3 linked regions of the Saccharomyces cerevisiae S288C genome follow. The protein of the gene in region 1 binds, or shares a complex with, the protein of each later gene. Each region holds a gene or a part of one and is shown on either strand. Other genes may lie near its edges. A codon is read from its position in the direction of its gene.

The links.
Region 2: the proteins of HTA1 (region 1) and RTT107 are in contact, whole or in part, in a crystal structure (PDB 3T7K), measured with the Saccharomyces cerevisiae proteins. Residues at the interface, in NP_010511.3 of Saccharomyces cerevisiae: Ala128 (codon at 5,107), Ser129 (codon at 5,110), Gln130 (codon at 5,113), Glu131 (codon at 5,116), Leu132 (codon at 5,119); in NP_012024.1 of Saccharomyces cerevisiae: Cys841 (codon at 6,569), Thr842 (codon at 6,572), Gly843 (codon at 6,575), His846 (codon at 6,584), Leu883 (codon at 6,695), Arg884 (codon at 6,698), Thr885 (codon at 6,701), Glu886 (codon at 6,704), Lys887 (codon at 6,707), Leu889 (codon at 6,713), Thr970 (codon at 6,956), Ile971 (codon at 6,959), Val974 (codon at 6,968), Trp1043 (codon at 7,175).
Region 3: the proteins of HTA1 (region 1) and HIF1 are in contact, whole or in part, in a crystal structure (PDB 5BT1), measured with the Saccharomyces cerevisiae proteins. Residues at the interface, in NP_010511.3 of Saccharomyces cerevisiae: Gln17 (codon at 4,774), Ser18 (codon at 4,777), Arg19 (codon at 4,780), Gly30 (codon at 4,813), Arg31 (codon at 4,816), Arg34 (codon at 4,825), Arg38 (codon at 4,837), Arg79 (codon at 4,960), Ile81 (codon at 4,966), Pro82 (codon at 4,969), Arg83 (codon at 4,972), Gln86 (codon at 4,981); in NP_013078.1 of Saccharomyces cerevisiae: Ser79 (codon at 7,833), Gly80 (codon at 7,836), Asn81 (codon at 7,839), Leu82 (codon at 7,842), Phe83 (codon at 7,845), Tyr203 (codon at 8,205), Glu248 (codon at 8,340), Glu250 (codon at 8,346), Arg291 (codon at 8,469), Asp335 (codon at 8,601), Asp336 (codon at 8,604), Asp338 (codon at 8,610), Glu339 (codon at 8,613), Glu342 (codon at 8,622), Asn343 (codon at 8,625), Gln345 (codon at 8,631).

The regions. Positions count from the first base shown.
Region 1 is NC_001136.10:910,805-919,485, forward strand, and holds HTA1 (histone H2A), read left to right. Parts: upstream 1-4,725; coding exon 4,726-5,124; downstream 5,125-8,681. Other genes in the region: YDR222W (uncharacterized protein), read left to right, coding at 1-497; CRF1 (Crf1p), read left to right, coding at 1,295-2,698; HTB1 (histone H2B), read right to left, coding at 3,513-3,908; adenylate kinase ADK1, read left to right, coding at 5,682-6,350; chromatin-silencing protein SIR4, read left to right, coding at 6,767-8,681. UniProt on the Saccharomyces cerevisiae protein: Core component of nucleosome which plays a central role in DNA double strand break (DSB) repair. Nucleosomes wrap and compact DNA into chromatin, limiting DNA accessibility to the cellular machineries which require DNA as a template.
Region 2 is NC_001140.6:398,918-410,722, forward strand, and holds RTT107 (Rtt107p), read left to right. Parts: upstream 1-4,048; coding exon 4,049-7,261; downstream 7,262-11,805. Other genes in the region: PEX28 (Pex28p), read left to right, coding at 1-73; MTC6 (Mtc6p), read right to left, coding at 351-1,931; SPO12 (Spo12p), read left to right, coding at 2,517-3,038; SPO16 (Spo16p), read right to left, coding at 3,169-3,765; LAM1 (Lam1p), read left to right, coding at 8,186-11,805. UniProt on the Saccharomyces cerevisiae protein: Required for resumption of chromosome replication after DNA damage, specifically in S phase. Is recruited to chromatin in the presence of RTT109 and RTT101 in response to stalled replication forks and acts as a scaffold during DNA repair.
Region 3 is NC_001144.5:98,038-107,799, reverse strand, and holds HIF1 (Hif1p), read left to right. Parts: upstream 1-7,598; coding exon 7,599-8,756; downstream 8,757-9,762. Other genes in the region: serine/threonine protein kinase KNS1, read left to right, coding at 1-2,114; SPA2 (Spa2p), read right to left, coding at 2,453-6,853; nucleoporin POM33, read left to right, coding at 8,964-9,762. UniProt on the Saccharomyces cerevisiae protein: Histone H3 and H4 specific chaperone component of the nuclear histone acetyltransferase B (HAT-B) complex. Involved in chromatin assembly and telomere silencing.

The sequences.
Region 1 (8,681 bases):
AAAATATTTCATTAACTGATGTTCCTGTCGTTTATCTGGACGCTGTTCAAGGTCTTTTGCCGAATAAAGCAGCCAGTAAATGGAATTTCCTATGTTTTCAGAGCGAAAACTACTCTGTTTTAGCAATTGAATTCACTACTCCTCGAGATCATGATAACGTCACCGTAACAGTTTGGTCAATTACTGAAAAAAACAAACTGATATCTATTGGTTCTTCTGTGCAGAGCCCAAAACGTCATGTTAGGTTCCGTGCTACGAGTACAGATAAGGAAAGCGGCTGGGTATATCCAACCTCTATCAAGTTCCCCGGTGGATTTTCAGAACACGACTTGAGGCTGGTTAATCGATACGACGTTCTCGGTGAGTTACCAAGCATGGTCAGGTCGTTAGCTCAGAAAATTGTGAGCATCAAACCTTTCATTTATCAATACTGTCAACCTTCTAAATATAAGCACGAGAAAGGTATTTCTATCGTTGAGAGCACCTTCATTAGTTGAACAAAAGCGTGAACACTTCCACATGAAATTCGTTTTTTGTCCTTTTTTTTCTCTTCTTTTTCTCTCCTGTTTCTTCTACCAACTTTACCTAATAATTAATGTGTAATCGAATTTTTTTACATAATCACTACCTAATAACTAATTTATCATCACTTTTTTTTTTCATTTTGAGGCCACACTTTCCCCCATGGACTATTGCATCATTGCGCCATGCTTCTTACTTGCGTAAGCCATAGAACGGAAATATCATGTTCCCCTTGCCGCATGCATATTGAAAACATCACGGGAACGAGAAGAATGGCATTTTCGAAATAAAAAGAAATCATATTTCAAATGTTGGGGAGAGAAAGCAAAGGGGAATCAATAATCATTAAGGGAAGTCGATGAAAGTTTCCTTTTCCGAACTCTACCTCGCCTTATATAAAACCTTGGTCTAAACGGATAAACCGAGATGTAGTTGAGTTTGTGAATCCAGTTCTTGTCCTTCTTCCTCTTTCAAAAAGTGAAGCAATCAGTTGAGAGTGTAGCTATAGAGGTGTGTACTCTAGAAATCAGACTTTCATAGCAAGCAGACTTTTTTTTTGTTGAATCTTACTAGCGGATTTTTTAGAGTTTTCTTCTTCGGACTAATCTGTCAATGGTTCCAGTAAGATTAATGAGTCAAAAGCCCTCTATAATTGTATCGAGAAATTTCTTAAAAGAAGGAATATAATTATTGCGGTCACTAGAAAGTTATAAGAAGGTTACCATTTAACTGAACAGCAGCGGTATAGTACGGAATAAAAAAGTCTTTTAAAATGTTGCTTAGTGCGCCTGTTAACAGTACCGTGCGGCGCAAGCCACACAGTCCAAATAAAAAAAAGCCAAAAGAGACAGGTACAGCTGCTTCCTTTTCGTCGTCCTCTTCAACTGTCGTCCTTTCATCCAATAATGATGGCAGCTTTGATGCTCTTTGGGACCCCTCTATAAGTAAGGCCTCGGATTTTGAGAGTAGCTATATTAGTGCTAAACGATTAAAACCAGAAAGTAGTAATAGACAGAAAAAAAAAAATTCTTATAAATATTCTAGGGAGGAAAACACCAACGAGGTAGAGGAAAAGACGTCTCTTGGCAGCAGCTCTAAGACAGAAGCAGATAATATATTTAATGACCAGCTCACGTCAGCTGGCAATACTACATATGTCAGTAATAAGCGCGATGTAAACTTCGGGGCGAATTCGGCTGTAGTACTGCTCGGTTTGCCAACAAGTAAAAGTGAATCTCACCGACAATACCACAGTCCTTCGGCTTCAACAACTAATGAAGATGAAGAGGACATTGGTGTTGATATTTTAGTAGACAACCACATCGATAGTTGCGAAACAGTATCGATAAATAATAATAGAGGTATTACACACCAATATCCAGAAACGGAATCAGATGTCGACTTTGATGAGGCCGTGATATTGACACCAATGGATGGTACGGATAAGGGAGTGAAAAATCCAAGACCACTCGAAAAAAAATATAGTAGCAGTTGTTTTGAGGACCGTACGCCCCTTAACTTGGATGATGGTCATTTCAGTGAATGCAATCATTTTTCTACATTAGATGTGTCTAGCTTTTTTCATCTCAACGAGCATGTGCATAAAATCGACGAAGTAGAGCTCGATGGACCTGATCGCACCTTTAGTCTAGACAACGTCGCTATTAATACAAGGAAAAAGGATATTGATTGCCTCTATAATAGTTCAAGAGAAGACTTATCCAACCTCACATGTTCTTCGGAAGGCCCAAGGAATGATAGTTATGATAGTGATTACAACATTGATGAGGTCACTTATAGAGATGATGAATCAACAGATGAAGACGAGAGCTTACCAACCCCAGATCGAAAAAGGAAGAAAATTGGCCATAAAGCTTGCGAAATATTGGATTCTAAAAGAATTGGAATAAAAGTACCAAAGTTATACGTTTGGTCTTTAAGTGATAAACCGTTTAGTGTTATCGATGGGTTGTGCACAAAATCGCTGTACCCATTGAGTGATGACATAAATACTCCTGAAAGTTTGAGCTCATGCTCAAGCTCAGTAAGTTCACGGGAAAATCAAAAAGGAGATGCAACATTTGATAATGATGCTATGATAGCCGACCTTCTAAACATAGGCGGACTCGAAGTAGAGAAGGCATCCAATGGCCATATTGAGCTCATAGGCGAGTGATTATTTGATATTCCAGAAGAATCATTATCGTCTTTTAAAGGAAAATATGATCGTTTGCGAAAAAATAGAAGCACTTTACTACTTGAATTGTCATAGAATAGTAGGAAAACCTACTTAGTCAGCGAAGATCAACTTGGAATATCGTATGATGAGATGGAGAAAAATTTAGGGGCCGAAATGGATGGATCCACTTGAGAGAGGATCAAGGAATACTGAAGTGCAGCTGACGATCCAGTCAGCGACATCTGTCTTTTTTTAATTACTATTGCTGTGTACTTATAGAGTCGGTGGCATTTATTTTATTTTTAGTATTTTTTTATACGTGCGTATTCTATTGTTCATTTTTTTACCAATTTTTTTTTTATTTTTATATTTTGTTTCTTGCGTGGAGTTTTTACAGGAAGTTAATCACAACAGAGGGTTCAATCTCCAAGGCATAAAATAAACAAAAATTGTAATAGTTAGCAACTGCAATACGAATTAAAATTTGAGGAAAAATCTAGTATTGTTCACACGAGCCAATGCTCTGAAGTTTCGAAAGCTAATAAATATCATGTGGAAACTTTTCTGAGTCATTAATAAGCAACACTATTTATTCTTCTTATAATTAGTCTTACAAGTAAACTGCCTTGCCGCATAAGCGCATTCCCTCTATGAGACCATTTGTAATTTCGAGAACACAATTTTACAACCGAGTAAATATCTTATAATCATTAAAATTATTAAACTATTATACAATTTTTTTTACTTTACTTTAATTTTTATATACCCATATAAATAATAATATTAATTATAACCAAAGGAAGTGATTTCATTATGCTTGAGTAGAGGAAGAGTACTTGGTAACAGCTCTAGTACCTTCAGAGACAGCATGCTTAGCCAATTCACCTGGTAAGATCAATCTAACAGCGGTTTGAATTTCTCTAGCAGAGATAGTAGACTTCTTGTTATACGCAGCCAATTTAGAAGCTTCAGTAGCGATTCTTTCAAAGATATCGTTAACGAAAGAGTTCAAGATAGACATGGACTTTTGGGAAATACCAGTGTCAGGGTGAGTTTGCTTCAAAACTTTGTAAATGTAAGAAGAGTATGTTTCCTTTCTAGCCTTGCTTCTCTTCTTACCATCAGTGGAAGTGGAAGTCTTTTTAGCGGCTGGTTTCTTTTCAGCTGGGGCTTTGGAGGCTGGTTTCTTTTCGGCTTTAGCAGACATTGTATGTGTGTATGGTTTATTTGTGGTTTGACTTGTCTATATAGGATAAATTTAATATAACAATAATCGAAAATGCGGAAAGAGAAACGTCTTTAATAAATCTGACCATCTGAGATGATCAAATCATGTTGTTTATATACATCAAGAAAACAGAGATGCCCCTTTCTTACCAATCGTTACAAGATAACCAACCAAGGTAGTATTTGCCACTACTAAGGCCAATTCTCTTGATTTTAAATCCATCGTTCTCATTTTTTCGCGGAAGAAAGGGTGCAACGCGCGAAAAAGTGAGAACAGCCTTCCCTTTCGGGCGACATTGAGCGTCTAACCATAGTTAACGACCCAACCGCGTTTTCTTCAAATTTGAACTCGCCGAGCTCACAAATAATTCATTAGCGCTGTTCCAAAATTTTCGCCTCACTGTGCGAAGCTATTGGAATGGAGTGTATTTGGTGGCTCAAAAAAAGAGCACAATAGTTAACTCGTCGTTGTTGAAGAAACGCCCGTAGAGATATGTGGTTTCTCATGCTGTTATTTGTTATTGCCCACTTTGTTGATTTCAAAATCTTTTCTCACCCCCTTCCCCGTTCACGAAGCCAGCCAGTGGATCGTAAATACTAGCAATAAGTCTTGACCTAAAAAATATATAAATAAGACTCCTAATCAGCTTGTAGATTTTCTGGTCTTGTTGAACCATCATCTATTTACTTCCAATCTGTACTTCTCTTCTTGATACTACATCATCATACGGATTTGGTTATTTCTCAGTGAATAAACAACTTCAAAACAAACAAATTTCATACATATAAAATATAAAATGTCCGGTGGTAAAGGTGGTAAAGCTGGTTCAGCTGCTAAAGCTTCTCAATCTAGATCTGCTAAGGCTGGTTTGACATTCCCAGTCGGTAGAGTGCACAGATTGCTAAGAAGAGGTAACTACGCCCAAAGAATTGGTTCTGGTGCTCCAGTCTACTTGACTGCTGTCTTGGAATATTTGGCCGCTGAAATTTTAGAATTAGCTGGTAATGCTGCTAGGGATAACAAGAAGACCAGAATTATTCCAAGACATTTGCAATTGGCTATCAGAAATGATGACGAATTGAACAAGCTATTGGGTAACGTTACCATTGCCCAAGGTGGTGTTTTGCCAAACATCCATCAAAACTTGTTGCCAAAGAAGTCTGCCAAGGCTACCAAGGCTTCTCAAGAATTATAAGATCGGTTCTGGTATTTTAAAGAAGGCGGAAGGAACTAAACTGCTTCTCCATTGTAACTATATTAAGTGTCTATTAGACCTTTCTGTTTTTCCTTTTTATTTTTCTATATATAATTTATTGGGTATATAATTAACGGTAACATATGTCATGCATGATATAAATTTTTTGTTGTGTCTTCCTGTTTTCTCTGTTGCTCTGTTTAGGTTCATTGGGCACTGTTGCTTACTTGAACATGATTGAGTAGCAAACACATTCTGTGCTTTGTTCACTTTGATAGTGTGACGAAATTTTCACAACCAAAGGAAAAAAGCTCACGATTGCGCGATCCTGTCACGGAGAACTGTCCGCAGCAGCCCGCGGCTTCTGTCCTTATTCGCCCATTTTTTTTTGATTTTCGACTTTTTCACTCTGGCTAGTTTTATTACGCATATTTGTATATATATATACGCATAAATTTCTGAAATGGATTACCTGGTTTATCAGAAACGAGAGCTTTAATAAAGAAACATTAACGTTTCTCTGGTAAAGTCACCACACAGCATCAAATATAACAGTAATGTCTAGCTCAGAATCCATTAGAATGGTCCTAATTGGCCCACCTGGTGCCGGTAAAGGTACTCAAGCTCCAAATTTGCAAGAGCGTTTCCATGCCGCTCACTTGGCCACTGGTGACATGTTGAGATCTCAAATCGCAAAGGGCACTCAATTAGGTTTGGAAGCAAAGAAAATTATGGACCAAGGTGGTTTAGTCTCTGATGACATTATGGTTAACATGATCAAGGATGAATTGACCAACAATCCAGCTTGTAAGAATGGGTTCATCTTGGACGGTTTCCCAAGAACCATTCCTCAGGCTGAAAAATTGGACCAAATGTTGAAAGAACAAGGAACTCCTTTGGAAAAAGCCATCGAATTGAAGGTTGATGATGAATTGTTGGTTGCCAGAATTACCGGTAGATTAATTCACCCAGCCTCTGGCAGATCCTACCACAAGATCTTTAACCCACCAAAGGAAGACATGAAGGATGACGTCACCGGTGAAGCTTTAGTTCAAAGATCTGATGACAATGCAGACGCCTTGAAGAAGAGATTAGCTGCTTACCATGCTCAAACCGAACCAATTGTTGACTTTTACAAAAAGACCGGTATCTGGGCTGGTGTTGATGCTTCCCAACCTCCTGCTACTGTTTGGGCTGACATCTTGAACAAGCTAGGTAAGGATTAATGACCTTGCGCAATGTCTTCTAAATATCTTTTCTTTTTTTTAAATTAATGAAAATATAATAAATTTTTGTATGTGAGTACATATATCCGCAGTATACTATAAATGAAATAATAACATAAGTGTTTGTAACTGGCTATAACGTCCTTAAACATGTGCACTGCCATTAAGTACTTAGTCAATATTTTTATCGTTGAGAACGAACGCAAATCATATTACTAAATAGATGAACAAAAGCGCATCACATAAACAAAAACGGTATAACAGTAATAGTGAAGCTTTTTATAAACCTATAACGAAATAAGCGCTTTTCAGGTTTTATAATTCAGTCAGAGTTCTAACTGGACATCGTTTTGCAGGGGATAAAAAAAAAAAGGAAGCTTCAACCCACAATACCAAAAAAGCGAAGAAAACAGCCAATGCCAAATGACAATAAGACACCCAATAGGTCCAGCACTCCCAAGTTTACTAAAAAACCAGTAACCCCGAATGATAAAATTCCTGAAAGAGAAGAAAAATCCAATGAAGTGAAGACACCTAAAATTCCATTATTCACGTTTGCCAAAAGCAAAAACTATTCAAGGCCGTCAACCGCAATTCATACCTCACCTCATCAACCAAGTGATGTAAAACCGACTTCCCATAAACAGTTGCAACAGCCAAAATCCTCACCACTGAAAAAAAATAACTATAATTCTTTTCCTCACTCAAATCTGGAAAAAATAAGCAACAGCAAACTACTCTCCCTTCTTCGGTCCAAAACGTCAGCAGGAAGAATTGAATCAAACAATCCTTCACATGATGCTAGCAGGTCTCTAGCAAGTTTTGAACAAACAGCATTTTCCCGGCATGCGCAGCAACAAACTTCTACCTTCAATTCAAAGCCTGTACGTACCATAGTACCGATATCAACATCACAAACCAATAACTCATTTTTATCAGGAGTAAAAAGCTTACTAAGTGAAGAGAAAATAAGGGATTACTCTAAAGAGATTCTAGGCATAAACTTGGCAAACGAACAGCCTGTTTTAGAGAAGCCACTTAAAAAAGGATCAGCAGACATCGGCGCCTCTGTGATTTCTTTGACCAAGGACAAATCTATCAGGAAAGATACCGTAGAAGAAAAAAAAGAAGAAAAGTTGAATATAGGTAAAAACTTTGCCCATTCTGATTCACTATCAGTTCCGAAGGTTAGTGCCGGTGACAGTGGTATATCACCGGAGGAGAGCAAGGCAAGAAGTCCTGGAATTGCAAAACCGAATGCCATACAAACAGAAGTGTATGGAATAAATGAGGAATCTACTAACGAGCGTTTAGAAATAAATCAAGAAAAACCAGTAAAATTAGATGAGAATAGTGCAAATAGTACGGTCGCATCGGCCTTAGATACCAATGGGACGTCAGCCACGACAGAAACTCTAACATCAAAGAAGATCGTTCCATCTCCAAAAAAAGTCGCCATTGATCAAGATAAAATAACACTGCACGATGAGAAAACACTTGCACCTTCGAAGCATCAGCCTATAACATCTGAACAAAAAATGAAGGAAGACGCCGACCTCAAGAGGATGGAAATCTTAAAGTCACCTCATTTGTCGAAAAGTCCAGCTGACAGACCTCAAGGGCGTAGAAACAGCCGAAATTTTTCCACTAGAGATGAAGAAACTACAAAACTTGCTTTTCTTGTTGAATATGAAGGCCAAGAAAACAACTATAACTCTACTTCTCGAAGCACAGAAAAGAAAAATGATATGAACACTTCTGCAAAGAATAAAAATGGTGAAAACAAGAAAATTGGTAAGAGGCCGCCTGAAATCATGAGCACTGAAGCTCACGTAAACAAAGTAACCGAAGAAACCACAAAGCAGATACAGAGTGTACGAATAGATGGTCGAAAAGTGCTTCAAAAAGTACAAGGAGAATCCCACATTGATTCGAGAAACAATACCCTGAATGTTACACCATCAAAGAGGCCCCAGCTAGGAGAAATACCGAATCCTATGAAAAAGCATAAGCCTAATGAAGGGCGAACTCCAAATATCTCAAACGGTACAATAAACATCCAAAAGAAATTAGAGCCTAAGGAAATTGTGCGAGATATTTTGCATACGAAAGAATCATCAAATGAGGCTAAGAAAACTATTCAAAACCCTTTAAATAAATCACAAAACACTGCTCTTCCTTCCACACATAAAGTTACACAAAAAAAAGATATAAAAATTGGAACTAATGACCTTTTTCAGGTTGAATCTGCTCCAAAAATATCCTCAGAGATTGACCGGGAGAATGTTAAATCAAAGGATGAACCGGTTTCCAAGGCTGTTGAAAGCAAAT
Region 2 (11,805 bases), on another chromosome or scaffold:
CTTATTTGATCCAATGTTCAAGAGGAGGAGACTGATACATCGTGTTATTAAGAATGCAACACCAGTAGCATAATGCACAATTGTTTTCCTTCACCTACAACCCCACCCCTCTTCTTGGGGAAATCATTGTATTACGTACTTTTTTCCTAAAGATATTAGAAAAAAAAATGTTATGTATCAATATTACTAGGTAAAATACAAAAATGCGCTTTTGAAGTATAAATAATACAGTTTTGTTTTAAGAAATGCTATATATGAATTAATAATAAATGAAACGAAAAAAAGCACTACTTGAGTTTTAATGTCGTAAAACTTGAGAAAATTCTAAAGTGTCAGAAAAAAAGTGATTTTTAAGAAGGGACACCTTCTAGCTCGGATTTAGAGATTTTATTGATAACTCTTCTCCAATTTTTTCTATTATCATAAATGGGGACCCTCAATACACTCAAGTAAACGACAATACACAGTAGGGCAAAGGAACAGACTGACGCAGGGACCATCATTGTTACGAAATTTCTCCTAGAAATGACTTTTTCATATGGGCAACTAGCATAAGGACCACCACTTACCCAACAATTGCTTACTGATATAGAGTTCAAATCTATCCATATTTGTGTGTCAGAGAAGGAGGAATTCCTCATATATGCAATAAACGATCTCTGCTCCAATGGGCTTCTAGGAATATTAAATGAATACTGATCGGGACATTTAGATCCCTGGTAACTATCAAAATCAAAGTACGTAGCCTTATTTGATCTCACCAACCATCGGAATGCCATATTTTCATATCTACAGAGCCCAATATTAGAATTGTAACAGTTACCTACTCGCCATGTTACTGTCTCATTGTTAGCAAAGTAGTACAAGAGAACGCAATTGTAAGCCTCTAAGGTCCCGGATGAGCTGCCAGATTTAGAAGTTGACTGAGTAACTGAAGGTTGGTCACTATCCCATGACCAAACGCTGCCTTCATGAATTATATCTGCTAACTGCGTCACATTATTGACGTACGCTGAATTGCTTATTATTGGTGATAAACCACACGAAATATACTCTTTGATGTCCACGGAATTGAACAGCGAATCTAAGAATCTCCAATGGATAGATGATAAATCAGTCAGACCCTCTACAGTAGAGGGGCAATCTAATGTAGAGTTCCCCTGCTCATAATGAAAGACGTCATGAGGAAAAATATATGGAGCAGTAGTTTCATTAAAAAAATCGGTCAGCTCACCTATAACCAGTCTCTTCTTTTGTTCATATAGCACAGAGCCCAGAGTGGGCCAACCGTCAATGGACGATTTTCCGTAGATGTTCCAGGTATTATTCTTTGCTCTATCACTTTGTAAATCCGTAGGCTTGTAAATGAAACTATTTCCTAAATTTTTGTCCAGTATATAAGTAGTGTTCAAAGTTTGGTTTTGGTGGCGGTATTCTGTGGAATCCAGTTCAGGAGCTGATATATTCAGCAACAGTACAATGATATTCGCATAGAGGTTGTTTTGTGTGCTGAAGATGAATGACTGTAAAGCAGTTAGAACGTCGCTAAATAACAATGTCGTATCTACCACTCTCAAATCATTATTATATTGTTCCAAGTCGAGGACAAAAGCATTTGCTTCGGAGGATAGCATAGATTTGAACAAAGTCAGTAATCTTGTATTATTACCTTCATTTACCATGCTAGTCTCATTGTTCAACAGAACCCGTCGTAGATTCAAACCAACATACGGCAGCTGGTCTATAGTTAAGTTTCCCATGACATCTCTTTGGGACCTAAAGGCCACCGTCATTTGAGGGGACATCGTCGGCCAGACAGATGCTGAAACGGTCTCATTCAGATCATCGCCAACTGTCGTAGTAGAGTCAACAGCAGTAACCCACGTTCGCAGTGAGGACCATATGATAAATAGGTATATGAGTATCCACATACCGTGTCTATAACGATGCGAATGCAAATGAACAAAAGAAAAAGGGAAGAATAGAATGGAGATAGTCTTTGAAAAAGCGAGGTTAAAAGCGACTAAAAAATACCAGCAAAAAGGTGACAAATAAAGTTAAACAGGGTGTATCTCACCGTGCAGCGAACACTTCAATGTGACTTGCTCAGCCAAAGACTCATCAACATTTATGGAAATTTCAATGATTCCCATTGTATTGCCTCTTCCCATTGTGGAAAAAAGAAAAATGCCAAAATTGCAAACCCTAATTTAAAAGGGTTACAGAAAAAAAAAAGCAGGTCTGAAATGCAGTTCGCCATGGTTAATATCTTTTCCTAATTTGGAAATATGTAAACAGGGCATCTTTCCTTTTTTTCTCCTAATGAAAATTGTAAGCAAAAGCATGAAACAATACTGCCACAAGAGGAGAATTCCTCCTTTTGAAGTCTAAAGCGCCATTTCAAACTAGTTTTTAGGAGGTCAGCCAAACGTTCATTCAGATTAGTTACTATCTTGGAATACTTCTAGTAGGAAAACAAAATAACATATACAGTAAGAACAATAGAAAACGTATTTATGTCCAACAAGGCAAGTGACCAATCAGCACGCACGGCTTCCATCCTCAAGACTGATATTACCAGAGAAAACACAATCACCAGAAGCAGCAGCAGCAACAACGACAACTACCATCACCACAATAACATCAATAATTACAATGAATCGGCGAAGACAGGAGAGGACGCCAATAAAGAGAATATACCTAATTTAGAGGAGGAGATTGCGGCCTTTCGAATTTTTAGGAAAAAAAGCACTTCAAACTTGAAGTCGTCACACACCACTAGCAATTTGGTAAAAAAGACAATGTTCAAAAGGGATCTTTTAAAACAGGATCCGAAGAGGAAACTCCAACTACAACAAAGATTTGCATCACCGACTGACAGGCTGGTATCACCATGCTCATTGAAATTGAATGAGCACAAAGTTAAGATGTTCGGAAAGAAAAAGAAAGTCAATCCTATGAAACTGAACTTTAAAGGCAACCTTGCTGCCGATTCAGAGGATGTAGAAATCGATGAAGATGAGGAGTATTTCTACTAAAAAAATCTGCCTTTCTAGTCATCCAAAAATAGCCAAATGCTACACTAAACCAATAAGCAAACGAGTACATAAAGAATAAGTAAATAATAATTCAACAATACCTGATTTTTTTTTTCTTACATTTTTTTTATTATTCATTAAAAGCAACCACCAAGCTTTCCAAATTATGAAACCTTGATAAAATGGCTTCAAAATCTTGATCTGGAATTCCGTTTTTTTTGAAGAGGTCGAAAATTATTTGCTTGATTAGAATTTCAAAATCAATAAACTCGTCCATATCCACGCTGTTCCGTGTCAAACGCTGGTTAGCTTTAAAAGCTAGAAAATATTGATTGTTTTCAACATATCGACTTCTGTCTACTGGTGTAACCTCTGTAATAAAGTAGCGGGCACCCGTTTTCGATGGTCCATTTATTAGATCTAGTGACCTCTCCAATAAGATATCCCAATAAGCTATTGAGAATTTCAAGCGCGTGAAATTCAAATTTATCATCAGAGAACGATGTGCGGGAACTCCAGGGCTTTTCTGTATTTTCTCATAGACATTATTTATCAGTAATTGCAGCTGTGTAACAATAAAATTGACGCCACTTTCTTCGTCTTGTAGCTCCTCGTTAAGCTGCGAAATTAACCTGCTCGTATTCACAGTAACACACTTAACCACAGAATGTTCTTCGACATTAGAAATCTCTTGTATTTTTTGTACATCCCAAAAGAATTCAGACATTTCTATTGAACCATTCCAGAAATGTTGTTCCAGAAGTTTATTCTCTTGAACCTTTACACTATTTCGTATTTTCTCGGTTTTAGCCGCCCACTTTTCACGCGTTAACAGGGTAAGCTATATCAGATGTGACTTTTCTTTTTCACTCATCTAATGTTGTTTTTCGCGTCACATTTTTTGCCAATAAATAAATACATCACAATGTTCTATATTGTATATTCAATGGAAGTCATTAGGTTATTGGGCAAGATTTCAAGGAGGTAGCATACTGGTAAATATACGATCCATGAGCACATCACTTCTGTTTGAGCAGCTAAATTTTTTAATTTTAGTGGCAGCAGAGGCTGAGCTTCCCATCGCTCACTCTACTAGAAAGCTTTTGATGGATAATTCATGCAATAACTGTCAAATATACGAGCTTTATAACGAAAATTTGAAAGATGTCAAGACGGATAAAGATTGGTTCATGAACAAATTCGGCCCGCAAACAGTACATTTTGTCATTAGTAATACAATCAACTTTCCTTTTTATAAGATAGTTTATTTCGATCTTTTGATCCCGGTGGTATCACACACTTGGGTCCAGGATTCGGTCAAGACGAAGAGACATTTGAGGACAAATATGTATTCACCTAACCCATTTCATTTGCTCCGAGACTGTCAAGTATATATTTCCAAAAGCTCGTTTAATAAGTGTGAATACATATTATACTCTGATTTGCTTCATTTATTAGGAGGCACTTTAGTCAATTACATCTCAAATAGAACGACGCATGTGATTGTTCAAAGTCCCCAGGACCCGATCATAGCAACGGTCAGTAAATTGACATTTGGCTCTTTTTCCTCTTCATCGACCAACAAGCACACCGAAAAGCCTTTGAGAGAGTGGAAATTTGTCTATCCAATATGGATATTATATCATTTCAAAATGGCGAAGCCCTTGAAGGGCGAGCTTGCTACTTTGTGTGAGCTTGATATGCAGGACACCAGTGAGGAACAGTTATTCGCAAAATGGGAAGAGGTTATTGGCGATAAGCAGACATCATCATCGCAGCTTACTCTTCATCCAAACAAAACTTTATTCAAAAATCACCACTTTGCTATCTCACCAGATTTAAACTTTTTCACACCTTTGTATTGGTTTTTGAAAGGATTTATCGAGGATTTGGACGGCAAAGTAACTCCGTTGAGTTTTTCTGACGATCTGAAGTCTGTTTACCAAGCTTTTCCTGATATTGACTGTTATATCGGCCACTCTGCTAACTCACCGATACTAGAAAAAACCAAAAGCATTAAACCGGAAATTCATGTTGGGAACGTAAGTTGGTTGTTTTATATGTTTGCGCTGCAAAAATTTACACCTGTATCGCAATGTAAACTTATTCACCAACCATTTCATGCGAAATTATTTACTTCTAAGGAATTAACAGTCGCGTACACTAATTATTTCGGCTCCCAAAGGTTTTATATTCAGAGGTTAGTAGAAATATTAGGAGGACTTAGCACACCTGAACTAACAAGAAAAAACACACACTTGATCACGAAGAGTACAATTGGCAAAAAATTCAAAGTCGCAAAAAAATGGTCACTGGACCCGCAAAATGCCATTATTGTGACAAATCATATGTGGTTAGAGCAATGTTATATGAATAATTCCAAGTTAAACCCCAAAGACAGTAGATTTCAAAATTTTAAATTGGATGATAACATGGGATGGAATATCGGCCAAATAGGAATGGATCATTCATCTCTCCCAACTCCAAAAAACCTATCGATGGTGACTTACGACACGCAATCCATATCAGAGAAGCCGCCTCCCACAAATGATCAAATGGATCAAATTAACGATAACACCAATGTATTATCAAAGAAAGATGGTACGCCCATTAGTAGTTTTGAGAACTCAATTGATGAAAAGATTGACAAATTACAAAAAATATCAGGAGAGGTGGCTGTAACCCATTCTGGAGATTTAGAACGGAGTTTTGTTTCCAGACCTTCAAGGGCAAGTTTTCCAGTAGTTGACAGTAAAAAATCTAATTTACAAAAGAAAGACTCAAACTCAGATATTAGTATGGAAACAGAGGTTTTCTGTGAAGGACATGAAAAAAGAGAAGAAAAGGAGTTTACGAAACCTATTACGGAGTATGATGCACCTAAGAAACAAGAAATAAGGGAACAGTCACGCAAGAAGAATGACATAGATTATAAAAAAGAAGAGGAAGAAACGGAGCTGCAAGTTCAGCTAGGACAACGAACTAAACGAGAGATCAAAACTTCGAAGAAAAATGAAAAGGAGAAAGAAACCAATGAATGTCACATTGAAGTAGATCAAATGACGAATGAAAAGCAAGGGGAGGAAAGTACAGGAAAACTGATTTCTACGGAAGACGTCACTTCTAAAAAAGATACAGATAAATTCTCGCATTTGTTTGAAGGATTATCTGATAATGATGATCACATTAATGACGAAAAACCGGCAGTTAATTCCAAATATACCACACCCAAGACGTCTCAAAATATTACGAGTGGCGTTGATACTCCAACCACCGCGCAAACGCAAGTTTTTATGCCATCAAGTGGCAATTCAAGGTTAGCAAAGACACAAGCTGCGAAGAGATTGCATACAGATATTGAATCATTAAATGAATTTCAGAAAAACTTTAAAAGGAAGAGAATTGATAGCGAGGAGATTTCATTGTCCCAAGATGTTGAAAGGTCAAATAATAACAAAGAACTGGCTACTAAAGCGGAAAAGATATTAGCTAGATTTAATGAACTACCAAATTATGACCTAAAAGCGGTTTGCACCGGTTGTTTCCATGATGGATTTAATGAGGTTGACATCGAAATATTGAACCAACTAGGTATAAAAATTTTTGACAATATTAAAGAAACGGATAAATTGAATTGTATTTTTGCTCCAAAGATTTTGAGAACCGAGAAATTTTTAAAAAGCTTAAGTTTTGAACCGTTAAAATTCGCATTGAAACCTGAATTTATTATTGATTTACTGAAACAAATTCATTCTAAAAAAGATAAACTTTCTCAAATAAATATAAACTTGTTTGATTATGAGATAAATGGAATTAATGAGAGTATAATATCAAAAACCAAACTACCTACTAAGGTGTTCGAAAGAGCGAATATTAGATGCATTAACTTAGTCAATGATATACCGGGTGGTGTAGATACAATAGGCTCTGTTCTAAAGGCACATGGTATCGAAAAAATCAACGTTTTACGTAGTAAGAAATGCACATTTGAAGACATAATCCCAAATGACGTTTCTAAGCAGGAAAACGGAGGCATTTTTAAATACGTACTTATCGTCACCAAAGCTTCACAGGTTAAAAAATTTACCAAACTGATTAATGATCGTGATAAAAACGAAACAATTTTGATTGTTGAATGGAATTGGTGTGTTGAATCAATTTTTCATCTCAATGTTGATTTTACATCAAAGAAAAATGTTTTGTATCAAAAGAAAAATAACTAAAAATGGACACTATATATTACGTCATCTGACATACGACACTGATAACAAATAAATATATAATAATTATAAAGATGCGTTGTAGAAAATCTTATGTTCAACAAACAACCCACATATGATTAACAGACCATTTTAAATGTCTAGTTAGAAACAATTATTTGGTACTGTCTTTGAATTAGATTGTTTAATAAAGCATTTCTAATATAGGATACAAAGGGTCAAATAGTACCGTGAGTAGAATCATTTATTCCACACTTTATCCGCAAACCTTTTAATTTTTCTACAATTTCATGGATAAAAACAGATTCATGGCCAGAATGCGTAAAGCAACTCTATTGTACAATTTTCCACTCTGAGATATTCACACAGCGGAGAGCCCTTCTACTCAATGCGTCAAGAACAATGTTCCAAACCTAGTGTATTTTAGGTATATTATTACGAGAGTATCCGCAATGTTAATGACGCAAAATTTAATGGCTCAAGCCAACTACTAACGTTAGTAAGAACTTTTTGATCTAATAATTAAACAGGTTACATCCATAGATTTACGTCAGAAATCTTAAATAATGTTTACATGCGAACAGTACCAAGATACATATATGTGGAGCGGATGAGAGATAAAATTGGGTTAAATGGGAAACATTACGGTATGATGCATAATTTTGAGTTTGGGCTTATTATCCTCGTGCGTATTGTATCGTCTCAATATGAGTGAAGATAAATCACCTATTACCCGAACTTTGAAGAGAACACTCTGAAAATTTGGTGAATAAGAAAGGGCTGTAGGTATTATTCGCGAAGCTTTCATTTATTGTAGTGAAAACTAGGGTGACAGAAGCTGATGGTCTGTTCTTCGATTTAGTACTGCCAATTTCAAGTTTTTCACTTCTATAGCTTTGGTATTGGTCATTGTAGAACAATTTTATAATGCATGAACACAAAGCGGAGCTACGGCTAATAACCGTTGCACTTAACGAAGCATCCACCGATTCCCCCTCTTTTAGAGCTTCTGTCAATTATTTCCATACCAGAATGGAATCTCTGAGTAGTTGGATGCACAGTACTGTGGATTATGTAGAAAATACGTACAAGCCTTCGTTCCAAGACTTCCAAAGAATAAAGGAAACACTATTTTCACAGCTGCTCCCTTCTCCTATATTACTCTCCAATGGATTTGTCAGTAACCAGCCATATACTCCCTTGCTTGTAAGAGACTTTACTAGAGATGTCAGTGACCTTTCAAATACGGTTATGAAAATAATTTTAGGTGATGAAAACTCACAATACACTGCGGCATTGTCTGCTTTGAGCTCTGATGCTATTAACCCTTACTTCAACAAGAGAAAAACTTTTGAATACTACCAAAGGAAGTATGATTCGTTTTTAACTGACTTTTTAGCGGCCACTAATGATGGCAATACTTTAATTCCACAAAATCTGCAAAATGAAACATTCAAATTAGTCGATATTAAACACAAATATATAGAAGCTTCCTTGGATTTGACTGAGGCTATTTCGTTAATGAAAGTTAATTTGGATAAATTCCTGATAGAGACAATAGACATTGTGCGCAAAAATAACGTTATTACTACCAAGGACACCAAGGACGTTATCGACATTACTCCCGAACTTACGGAAACATTAAAGGATTGGACCGATTGGATAGAAAGTAACCTTCAGACTTTACAAGCATTGTCATCCAAGCTATCTGAAGCTAAGTATGCCATTCTGAAGCTCAGCTTGGCAAGAATGAAGCCATCTCGCCTGATACAAGACTATGATTTGAAAAGCATACAAAATTTGAAGTTTAACCTTCCAAAATCGATAAGTAACGGAAATAATTCTGAGGAAAAAGGGCTATCGGGTTGGTTGTACATGAAAACTACAGTTGGTCATGATCCGAAAAGAGTTGTGTGGGTAAGAAGATGGTGCTTTCTACAGAACAATGTTTTTGGAGTTTTTTCACTGTCGCCTAGCAAAACTTATGTCGAAGAAACCGATAAATTCGGTATATTATGGATAACTGTAGAATATCTGCCCAAAGAACCTAGAAATTTTTGTTTCAAATTGAGGATTCAAAATCCAAATTGCAAAACAGAAGAAGAAAATACATACATAGATATCATCCTGCAAGCTGAAAGTATTGACGAGTTAAAATCGTGGATAAACACCTTAACTTCTCACAAAAGAATCGCATTGTCGATAAAGGAGGAAAACGATCCTCGTTATCAATTGGCGAGAAAAAAAATTGAACCTCAATTTTTCGAGTTTGCTTCAAGTAGCTCAACGTCAACAGATAAATTATTAACTTCATTTTCCAGTAAAACTTTGACATTGGTAGAAGAGCTAAAAAAAAATTATATGTCAGAGGATGATATATACTCTATCATTGATAATAAGGCATACCATCTGAGAGTAATTTCTACACCGATAGCCACGCAGTTGACTCATTTGGCTTTATTCTCTACATTTCTATCTGTATCAAATTATTATCCGTGTGCTACCCAGGCAAACACCTGGGGTACGGCAAATTGGAATGATTTGTCCTATTTAGTCAATCCACTCAAAGGAAGTTCAGTACACAAGCCAGCCACAGTATCGAATTCTTCCAGGTTTTCCGTTAGCTACCCCGACTATTATCCATACAGCCTGAAAGTCGATGATATACAATTTAGATCAATTTTCTTTTCAGTGAATCATGATTTTTTACAAGTCCCAAAAGAACTTGTTCTTTTAAGATATTCATCGGTGTGGTGCCCGAACAATAAACAAAAATTTGCATCTATGGCTTTTGTTACCCTTAACCACATTTATGTCTATTTAAATATTTCAGGCTTTTCATATTTGAGAAGAATAGATTTACTAGATATCGACTCAATCGAATATGATAAAAGCCCAAAACATGTTTCTTCAAGAATGCTGCACATGCAAAGAGGCGATGGACTCAGGTTTAATATGTCCGTCTTTTTTACAGATCGAAGAGCAGTTGCCTCAAAGTTACAATTTCTGATAGAAAATAAGGCAATGCATATCCCAAAGGGCGAAAAAGAGGTTTTAGAAATTTTCCAGGAATTAGACGAAGAGATTGAGAACGAAAAAAAAATCATCAAAGATAATTTGTCAGAATCAGAACATTATTCAAAAGATTATGATTATCTATTGAAGAGCACGTATGACCATCATTTTGAGAATACTAACGAAACGCCTATGGAATTAATGAGCAGGAAACTCCGTTTAGAAAGGGAAGCCTGGTGCTACTTTCAAGACAATTTTAAAGTCGGAAGCAAGACGCTATTCCACGTTCTTTTTGGAGACAAATCTCAAGTTTTTCCAAGTTCACTATTTCTTTGTAAGAAGGGCAGTAACTTGAATAACAATTCATACTGGGAGCGCATTAGGCGCGCGAAAGAAGATGCAAGTTGTCAATTTGAACTTTGCCGTAAGTTACAGTTTCAACTGAATCGAACTTCTAATTTTATCAAAGATCTATTATGGTTGAAGGATGACAATGACAACTTCAAATTAGTTCTTCAGCAGCGTGTGACAAAAATAAAACAAGGTTATTATTTTGAGGTGGAAGAAGGTCCCATTATTGTGAAATTTCCGCTATGCCATCCCTTACTCCTTCGTGTGAGGTTCATAATTGCAGAATGTATCACCTCTCAAGGAGAGTCCCTCAAAAAATGTGACCTGGCAATACTATATGACTTCAACTATGTTGAATCTATTGATAAGTTGAATACCAAAGTTGAAAAACTATGGCTTTTTGAAAGAATACACCTCAACTGGGCATTGAGATATTGTAAACTTGAACATTCTGAAATTAACAGAAAGACGAGGGAATATCTAAAAAAATTCAACGATAGAGAAAAAATGAGTGATGTTATTAAATTGTGTGGATTCCTTGGTGTTTTACCAAAGGAAAGAATAGAAAACGATGAAAAGGCCGGCGATTTCATGCAACCTGTATATATCAATTATGATTTTCTGTCTCTTTCAAAAATTTTTACAAAATTGACCGTGTTTTATTTAAGCAGTGTCATCATTAAGACCATGAAAGTTTTACTGGCAATGGTAATGGTTATCTTCAAATGTTTTTCAAAAGTTAACAAAACTTTATACTATTGTCTTTTGATATCTGCGGTAACCAATTTGTTCTTTGTTGGTAAATCTATTCATTCATATTTCTCCGTAAAGTCAGCCGAAACCCTATTTCAGAACTATGCCAATGGTGATCAGCGAGGACTTCAAATCATGCATCGGTCTTTGACAGTGCCTGATTTGAACCTACTTACAAGAAAAATGATGGATAATGACCAGGAAAATCCAGTATTCAAGAGATTTGACGAAGACAAAAATGCATACCAGTACAAAGGAACAAGGCAAGAAATTGCAATTAAACGAAACCAAGTGCTGACGGAATTAAAAATTCTACAAAATACGGAAAAGGAACTCGTACAGGGAAGTTACAGAAAATTCATAATAACAGAAAGAGACAAATGCATCACCACTCAGAATGAAATCTTTGATTTATGGATAAACGATAC
Region 3 (9,762 bases), on another chromosome or scaffold:
CCTTTTTGGATAATTTCGAAGAAACGCGCACAAACAAGCTGCTGGACGAGATGTTTGCTCGGCAAAATTCTTTTCTAACAGACAATCTGAGGAACAGTCTAGACCTGAATCAAGCAGACAATCCGCTCCGTCCTCGGCAACACCAACACCAGTTGTTCTTGGACAATGAAAATGCCATAGAACTAGACGAGGAGCCGCGTATCATTAACACCACAATCAATAACAGTAATAATCATAACAGTAGTCGAGTGGACGAGGATGCTGACGATGACATCATTTTTATCAAAGAGCAGCCAATTCAGTTTTCGTCACCTTTGATTCTGCCTAGTAGCAGCAGTATCAATAACAACAATAATATTGTTACTTCAAATAATCCAGGGTGCGGTACCGCAGCTACAAGCAATAGTACGTATATCACGACACCAAAGAAATTCAAGAAGCAAAGAACCATCTCACTGCCTCAGTTGCCTCTATCGAAGCTGAGCTACCAATCGAACTATTTTAATGTTCCTGATCAAACCAACGCTATCGTGCCAAGAGTAACGCAAACTGAAAATGAGCTGTTGCATCTAACGGGGTCGTGTGCAAAGACTCTGGAGGGCAACAAGGCAGTGAATCTCACGATTGCTCACAGCACTTCTCCCTTTTCCAACCCACCAGCACAAATAGCTTCCCTGCCTCAATCCAACCTCAAGAAACAAATTGGTTCTTCACTACGGAAATTTACATCAAACGGCTCTTCAGAAAGCGCATCATCCAATAAATCAAATTTCAAAACGGACAAAGACGGTCACTACGTTTACCAGGAAAACGACATATTTGGCAGTGGCGGCCGCTTTGTTGTGAAGGACCTATTGGGCCAAGGCACGTTTGGTAAAGTACTTAAATGCATCGATAACAAGTATGAACCTAATTACGTGGCTGTAAAAGTGATAAGGGCTGTAGATAGATATAGAGAAGCCGCCAAAACAGAACTAAGAATTCTACAGACTATCCTGAATAATGACCCTCAAGGTCAGTTCCAGTGCCTCTTGCTAAGGGAGTGCTTCGATTACAAAAATCACATTTGTTTGGTGACAGATCTATACGGCAGGTCCATTTACGATTTTATGTGCTCCAACGGCATTGCCAGGTTCCCCGGCTCTCATATTCAGGCCATTGCCAGACAGCTAATCAGATCTGTCTGCTTCTTGCACGATTTGGGCATAATACACACGGATTTGAAACCAGAAAATATCCTGATTTGTGACGAAACCCATATTGCTCAAAAATTGCCTTTGAAAACCGTACAGTCGCTAAGCAAGAGACGCCGTGAAGCCAGTAAGGGGAAGCGCAAAATCTTGAAAAATCCAGAAATCAAAATCATTGATTTCGGTAGCGCAATTTTCCATTACGAATATCATCCTCCTGTAATATCCACTCGTCACTATAGAGCCCCGGAAATTGTCCTTGGCTTGGGCTGGTCGTTCCCCTGCGACATTTGGTCCATCGCGTGTGTCCTAGTAGAACTGGTTATTGGCGAATCTCTTTACCCCATTCATGAAAATCTAGAACATATGGCTATGATGCAACGAATCAATGGAACCCCTTTCCCCACAGACATTATTGATAAGATGTTTTACAAATCTAAACATAAATTGGGCAACTCTCCATCAGACCTAAATTCAACGGTGATAAAGCATTTCGACAGAAAAACTTTAAGCTTACAATGGCCTGAAAAAAATAAACGCGGAGATACCATAACCACCGAAAAGTCAATGAAAAGGGTCTTGCAGTCATGTGATCGCTTAGATATTTACATCTCAAAGGTCTTGAAACAGGATTACGGCGATAGCTTAAGCATCAATTGGAATCTACCGCCGGAGAAAAACTGGTCTTTGATAAATTCGAAATTGGCATGGAAAAGACAAACACATTCCTCTTCTTCCTCAACTACTGATGAACTCGATAAGGAAACTTTCTTGTTTTGGTACTGGTTCATCGATCTACTCAGGAAAATGTTTGAGTTCGACCCAACAAAAAGGATTACCGCAAAGGACGCTCTGGACCATGAATGGTTTAATCTGGGCATACTGGATGATGGTATTGCAACTTATAATAATACCCAAGGATAGTGGGTGTTCTCGTTCTACTTTTCTCTTCTTTTTTTCACATCTTTTACTAGTTCCGTTTTTTTTTTTTTTAACTCTTCTTTTTCATTTTCCGGTTTTTAATAATATTTCTTTAAATTTCTATATTCAATAAAAATTCTTCCTACATATATATCTTCATATTCAAACATTTATAGTATTTTTACTAATTTTTTGTTGTTTTAATATACTATAATAATATTATTATTACTGCTACTACTATTATTATTATTATTATAATTATTATTATTATATGTCATACATAATACATTCTATTGATTGTCTTTGTCTTCCTTTTCTTTCTCCTCTAGATACTACTAACTTTACTTCAACTTCGAATTCAAATAATTTATTTCGTCCTTCAAACTTGCCTCTTCTACAGTTTTTACCAGCTCCTTTGTACATTTGGCAACATCAAACGCAATCCCTGCCAACCGCTGTTTGAAGTTTTTGTCAGCATAATCTTGATCGCTCTTTTCCTTCGCTAGTATTCCATCGCCAGTTAATTGGCACAAAATTGTCATTCTACGCGAACAGTCTCTTAGACTTTGCACCACCCAATCACCGTGTTTCTTCAAATTGGCATTTCTGCTTTGCTCCATTGATATGCTAGTAGCGTCCACCATTTGACCTATGACTTGGTTGATTGCATTCGATTCTCCCCTCAAATTACCCTTCGTCACCTGTGGTTTCTTGATCGATGTCAAAAGCGATTGAATCGTGGATATGACGTCCATTGTTTGATGTTCTAAATACAATAGTAACTCTGATAGTGTATTATCCGGATTTTCAATGTCAAATGTATCCACATCAAAATCACTGTCTTCTTCCTCTTCATCGTCATCTTCACTTTCCTCTTCCTCACTTCTGTTTTGTTCTTGTTCTTGTTCTTCATGTTTCATGGGAACAAATTGATAGCTAGAATCATCATCATCACTATAATGTTTCTCGTCATGTGCCGTAGTTTCTCCAGTATTTTTTATCTTTATGTGGTTGTTAATGCCGCCGTTCGACTCTGAGTTCTCGTATTGAACCGGTTTACTGTTTAAAAATGGTGAGTGGCTCGTCTTTTTTACCTGTGAATTTTCAGTTGGATTTACGAAAGCATGCTTTCTTTCAGTGATGTGTATTTGGGCATCAGCTCTTTTTCCATTAACATTATTTGATTCATCAATATCTTCCTCGGAAGTATGCACTTCTGCTTCGCTTTTTGCTTTACGATCAACAGGTATTTTATGATAATCAATTTTTCCAGTTTTCGTATATGCACCAGTGATCTGGATATTGTGGTTCACTCTATCAAAATCTTCGTCCTCCTCCTCTCGTTTGATCGTACGGTTTAAGTCGGCGTCTCTCCAAGAAGTATTGGCATCCTTGTTTGTTGGTTCCACAGAAGTGATAGTCTCAGTATGTGGTTTATTAGTTTCTCGTAACTCGACATTTTTCTTTATCGGTGCTAGAGGTGAATTTTTTGCCAATTCAGGAGAAACAATTTGGCTATTCGGTTCTGGGAGCCCGCTCTTTTTCAGTGTAGCTGAAGATGGAGTCTTTTCGACTGATTTTGGTGATCCAGTTCTATTAACAGCCTTTGGAAAGACAATCTTTTTTAGTACTTTTGGGGGGTCAACATTCTCTATCGGCTCTGAGGAGGCAATGTCTCTCCTTATTTCTTGAGGTTCAGACACAGTATTTCCCTTTAAATTTGGGGATTCCATTTTCACTGTCATGTTTGAGGGGATAGTATTGCCTACTGCCTCCAAGGACTCGCTTTCCCTTACCATTCTTGGAGATTCAATTTTGTCAACTTCTCCTGATGACGCCAACTTCCTAGCCGCTTCCGGGGACTTGATTGATTCTTGAGCTGTAATTTTTCCTGTCATACCCAAAGACTTAATCTGCTCTTTCATGCCCGGAGATTCGACCCTACTATCTGCTTCTGGGCCTACAACTTTTCCTGCCATATTCAAAGATTTAATCTGTCCTGTCATGCCCGGAGATTCGACCCTACTATCTGATTCTGGGCCTACAGCCTTTCCTGTCATACCCAAAGACTTGACCTTCTGCGTCATATCCGGAGATTCGACATTACCAAGTGGTTCTTGAAAATTTTTCTTCCTGACTGATTCTACAGATGCGCCCTTCTCTGGCATTTCTGAAGGCTCAACATCCTCTACTAATCTCTTAGGCAGCGAACTACTTGGCATTTCTGAAGACATTTCAGATGACGTGATTTCCTTTATCGATTCAGGAGATTCAATCTTCACGGACTCCGGTGACTCATGTAAATCAAGTTCCACTATATTTGCAGGTAGTTTGCTGTCATTATTTTTTTCAATTTTTGAACCTTCTCTCTTCATTGTTTGTTTCAATGCCATATAGGTAAAATCATCATCATCGTCTGCATCGTCATTTTCGTTACCATCAGAGCTTGAATCATCTGTGGACACATCATTCATTGAAGTGATAAATTTATTGGATAGTTTTGGTTTTGAATCCATTTCTTCTTTTGCTATAGGATTTTCCTTTGGTGATGATTTCTTTTCGGAACTTTGCTCAAATTGTTTCAGTTTATCAGCAATGCTAGAAGTTGGTTTAACAGAGATTTCATTTGTTATGTCACTCCTTTTATTATCCTCTTCTGTATTCTCGATTTTAATATTGGGAACTTGATTCTCTGACGGTGGAATAACAGTACCGATTTTGGCTTGTGGAGGTAGTGTTAGTTTAGGAATTTCGGAAATATTGCTACTTGCAGAATTGGAGGCCGATGTTACTGCCTTTATGGGCGAGACATATTTATCATTATCCTCTTTATGGGAGCTATTCTTAGCAATTGATGAATCAATCATTAAACTAAATAGCCCCGTTCCTGAAGGTTTTCTTGAGGTTGTTGGAACTCCATTAGACGATGACGGTCTTATGATCGGACTGTTAATTGCCTTTTGTGTAATTTTCAATGGCTTGACTGGAGATTCTTCTTCCTCCACATCATTCAAGAAAGATGCTGGTTTTCTTGGGTTTATAAACCCCTTCTTCATATTTATTCCAGAAGTCGAGGGGAAAGTTGGCGTCATTGGGGTGGTAGCAGTTGGTGAAGAATATTCTAATACCTGTCGGTTACCTTCATTAGAGGTGGTGCTCTCACCATTTGAATCGGATTTTATTTTCGCTGAATCAATTAGATTACACATGGCAAAACAAACCTCTGAAACAGCAGCTTGCACAGTTATTTTCGGAATTAATACGGGACCGTAAACAGAGAAATATCTTATCGATGTGATCGCATGCGATAATGATGCCTTCAGTAAAATGACCTGATCTTTGTACTGTAATAGGTCGGCCGATAGTAATAGCTGGGAGATTAGGTTCGATAACTGGGATAATATTTGAAATAACTCTTCGCCAATTTGATGGGAAATTGCCGTGGAGTCGCCTATGGGTACTGCGGAAAGCCTAGTAGTAAATTGAATTATCAAGTTGTTAGCGTTTAAGATGTATTGAGCTGGAATGAGCCCATCGGCAGAAGAGTACTTGCTAATAAAACCGTCAGTGATTTTCAAATCATTATGGTTGTCATTCTTTTTTTGATGCAGTTCGAATTCTGAAATTTTCTGCTTCAAATTTTCATTCTCAATTGATAATTCACCGATTTGAGAGTTTAATGACAGCAATTCTTTCTGAAAACTTTCATCAATGGTGTAGTTAATCTTTAAGTTCTTTTCCTTTTCTTTTTCCTCCTTCTCTTCCTTCTTCTCCTTTTCCTTCTCGCTGGTTAAAGATGCTAACTTAGCATTCAAATCTTCAATTTGCAAATGTAAGTCGCTGTTTAAATCAGTCAGTTCTTTAACCTTGTCTTCCATCTCTGAGTTAGGGTTATTGTTCTCAGCCCGTTGTACTTCAGGGCTCTTCAACTGTTCGGGACCCTTTTCGTTATCGATATCTTTATCTACCTTGATAATTGGAGAATCATTAACGTCCCAGTAATTTTTATGCGTCGTTGTTGGAGTCCTTGCCATTGATGTGATATCACGAGCGAGCACTTGGGAGTCAGGCAGATCAGAATCTGTAACTATGGGGTTTAGAGCAGGTTTAGCCTCTTTCTTTTCATCCATGCTTGTTTGTTTTCCCTCCGGTTCATTTGGCTTCTCCTTTACTTGCTCCTCTTCTTCTTCCTCAGAAGACCAATCGATAGATGCCATCTTAGGAATGACCAAAGAAGGTTGTACGGAGACGTTTGGAGCTACTTGAGTCACAGAGGAAGAATTTGTGGATGTTCTTGCAGTATCATCGCTGTCTTTGCTGACCTCTTGTTTCATCGGCTGCGGTAATGGGGGCCGTGGAGCATCCAAATCCTTGTCGAACCCTCTTCTCTTGATCTCAAAAAGGATATCGTCCAACAAATCATTAAATCGAGTTTGTGATAGATTGGCCAGTTTCTGTCTAGCCTGGTTCCTTTTCATGTGGAAATTTGCCTTCGGCAAAAGGTAATCTGGTTGGTTAGCATCTTCACCGATTCTCCTCTGCAGCTCATCGGACACGTCTGTACTCAGCTCGTAAAATTGCGAAGAAGATAGCTTCAACAGCTTGGCTCTGGCCTTTTGAGCTCGTGTCGAATTTGACCTGTCACGATTTTCGCCAGTCACCTCGAAAAAAGTCTTCAGTGAGACGTAGTAATGGAAGATATCTCTATGATGTGCGAGAGAAACCTCGCTTGACGTACCCATGTTTACTCTTTCTTTTCTTTTGTTTATTCTGTTTCGGTGGCTCGTATTGCGTTATTCCTCACGCCTTGATTTGAATCTTCGTCTCACGTGGTTTCTCAGCGTCTTTCACACGCTTCTGACCAAATTTATCTTACCGAACTATACGTAGCTATGTGTTGCTTTCTGCTGAAAGAACTCGATAATAGAATATTATTCTCAAAATACTTCAAAGTTTATTCTCATCGTTTCCAAAAACGCGTCACGCATCACCCGGCGCAGTATTTCTTCTTCCTTTTCCGCCATAAAAAGTCATAATAATAAGCCTATCTCAAGATTCTTATACTACTTTTAACAGTTTTATTGATAACTTACTTACGTTAGACCATCTTTTTTGTGCAAACCTTTGGTAAAAAAAAAGAACTGCGCTACCTTCTCCTAGTTTATGTATGGTACGGCAACTCATAGTTAGTTTTCTGTGCCCGTTTTAAGCACGACTTGAACTTACGTGATTATATGTATACAGTGCATGTTTTTATATAGAAAAATAAAAAAATGGGGTTACGTAGTCGAAGGATATAGCAGTGTCTAAAAACTTGCAAGAGCACTCGTAGCTCCCCGGCAGTGGAATCTTACCACTTCTCAGAGAATGTCGGAACGATATGTTACTGCACTGAAGTTTCGCGTTTTTTCCAATTTTGTATTATTTCATTCTACTCAATTTTGAGGTAACATCGGCGATGAGGTCTCCTTCTAGAAGTAACAGAATATGAAACTAAGGGCAGAAGACGTGTTGGCAAACGGAACTAGCAGACATAAAGTTCAAATTGATATGGAAAGACAGGTTCAAATTGCAAAAGATTTACTCGCACAGAAAAAGTTCTTAGAAGCTGCTAAACGCTGCCAACAAACTTTGGACTCTCTCCCAAAAGATGGTTTGTTGCCTGATCCTGAACTGTTTACTATATTCGCACAAGCTGTATACAACATGGAAGTACAGAATTCTGGTAATCTGTTTGGGGACGCTCTTCTGGCAGGTGACGATGGATCTGGGTCTGAGTCTGAGTCTGAGCCTGAGTCTGATGTGAGCAATGGAGAAGAGGGGAACGAGAACGGTCAAACAGAAATTCCTAATTCTAGGATGTTCCAATTCGACCAAGAAGAGGAAGACTTGACTGGTGATGTCGACAGTGGTGATAGTGAGGACAGTGGCGAAGGTAGCGAAGAAGAGGAAGAAAACGTGGAGAAAGAGGAAGAACGCTTAGCTTTGCACGAATTGGCTAACTTCAGTCCAGCGAATGAACATGACGATGAAATTGAAGACGTATCGCAACTTCGCAAGTCTGGTTTCCACATTTACTTTGAAAATGATCTGTATGAGAATGCTTTGGACCTACTGGCGCAGGCCTTGATGCTGTTGGGCCGCCCTACAGCAGATGGCCAATCTCTAACCGAGAACAGCAGATTGCGCATCGGTGATGTGTATATCCTGATGGGTGACATCGAAAGGGAGGCGGAGATGTTCAGTAGAGCCATTCATCATTACTTGAAGGCGCTTGGCTATTACAAGACCTTGAAACCCGCAGAACAAGTAACTGAGAAGGTGATACAAGCAGAATTTTTGGTGTGTGATGCTTTAAGGTGGGTTGATCAGGTGCCGGCTAAGGACAAACTAAAAAGATTCAAGCATGCCAAGGCTCTGCTTGAAAAACACATGACTACAAGACCCAAGGACAGCGAGTTACAGCAGGCAAGGCTCGCACAGATTCAAGACGATATTGATGAGGTGCAAGAAAATCAGCAGCACGGCTCCAAGAGGCCTCTTTCGCAGCCCACGACCTCCATCGGCTTCCCCGCCCTCGAAAAGCCCCTTGGTGACTTCAATGATCTCTCTCAACTGGTCAAGAAGAAGCCTAGAAGGCATTGATAGTTTTGTGTAAAATGTAGCAACCTACATACGTAATGTATATTTCTCCTTCTTTGGTACGGCGAAAGGGCCCCATTTTAAAAGGGTGAAAAAATATTTAAAGAGCAAGCAGACCATCCCTGAAATGACATACTTACTACATCTAAAAAAAGTCATTTTTCTCTATTCATAAGGAGCAAGAAACACTAGCCAAGAATAGTCAGTATAATGTCATCAAGACCCGCTAATAACCAAGGCCCCCCAAACCTCCCTGCCAGAGATAAGTCGCTCGTGCAAAGGTTCATGGCAGTAGCCAAGAGCTTGCAGTTTGCATGGTTTACCGGTCATTCCGTCGTATTGATCAGCTCCATTCTTTACCTGCTCAAGATGTCAGAATTTTATTACAGATCGGCATATCTCGGTGTCATCGAATCTTTCGGTATCATCATTTACCAGCAATTTTTCACCCGCAATGAACCATTGCAGACTCAAGATGCCGCTGCCACTAAGGCTTCCATAAAATCACGCGTTGCTGGACTCCTAAAGAGTGAAGACGTGCTTTATTTGGTTTTGGCCAACTTCTGGTTGTTCACTCCAAGATTTTCATTCAGCTTAATCCCATTTTTCGCGTTTGCTGTATTCCATGTTTTAATCTACGTTGAAAAAGTTCTCTTACCAAAAGTCTTCCACCTTTCCAGTAAAGATTCAAGTAAGATCCTCAGCTTCATCGACAAGTTTGTTGTTCAGTACAATGACTTGTGCATGCACTGGGTCGGTACTGCTGAGCTGCTTATTTTCATTTTGGTCCTTTTCAGAGCCATTCTGTGCTTCCAAAGGTCTTGGATCATACTTGTTGTGTACGCCATCTTTATTAAGTTAAGATACGAAAACTCCAAGTACATGAAAGCCGCCTTTGCTCAATGGAGAGTTAGAATGGACGGGATCATAAGCCACCCATCTATCCCACCATTCGTCAAAAGAGCTTATAATGCAATTAAAATGAGCTTGATCCGCTTGTCTGAGTACC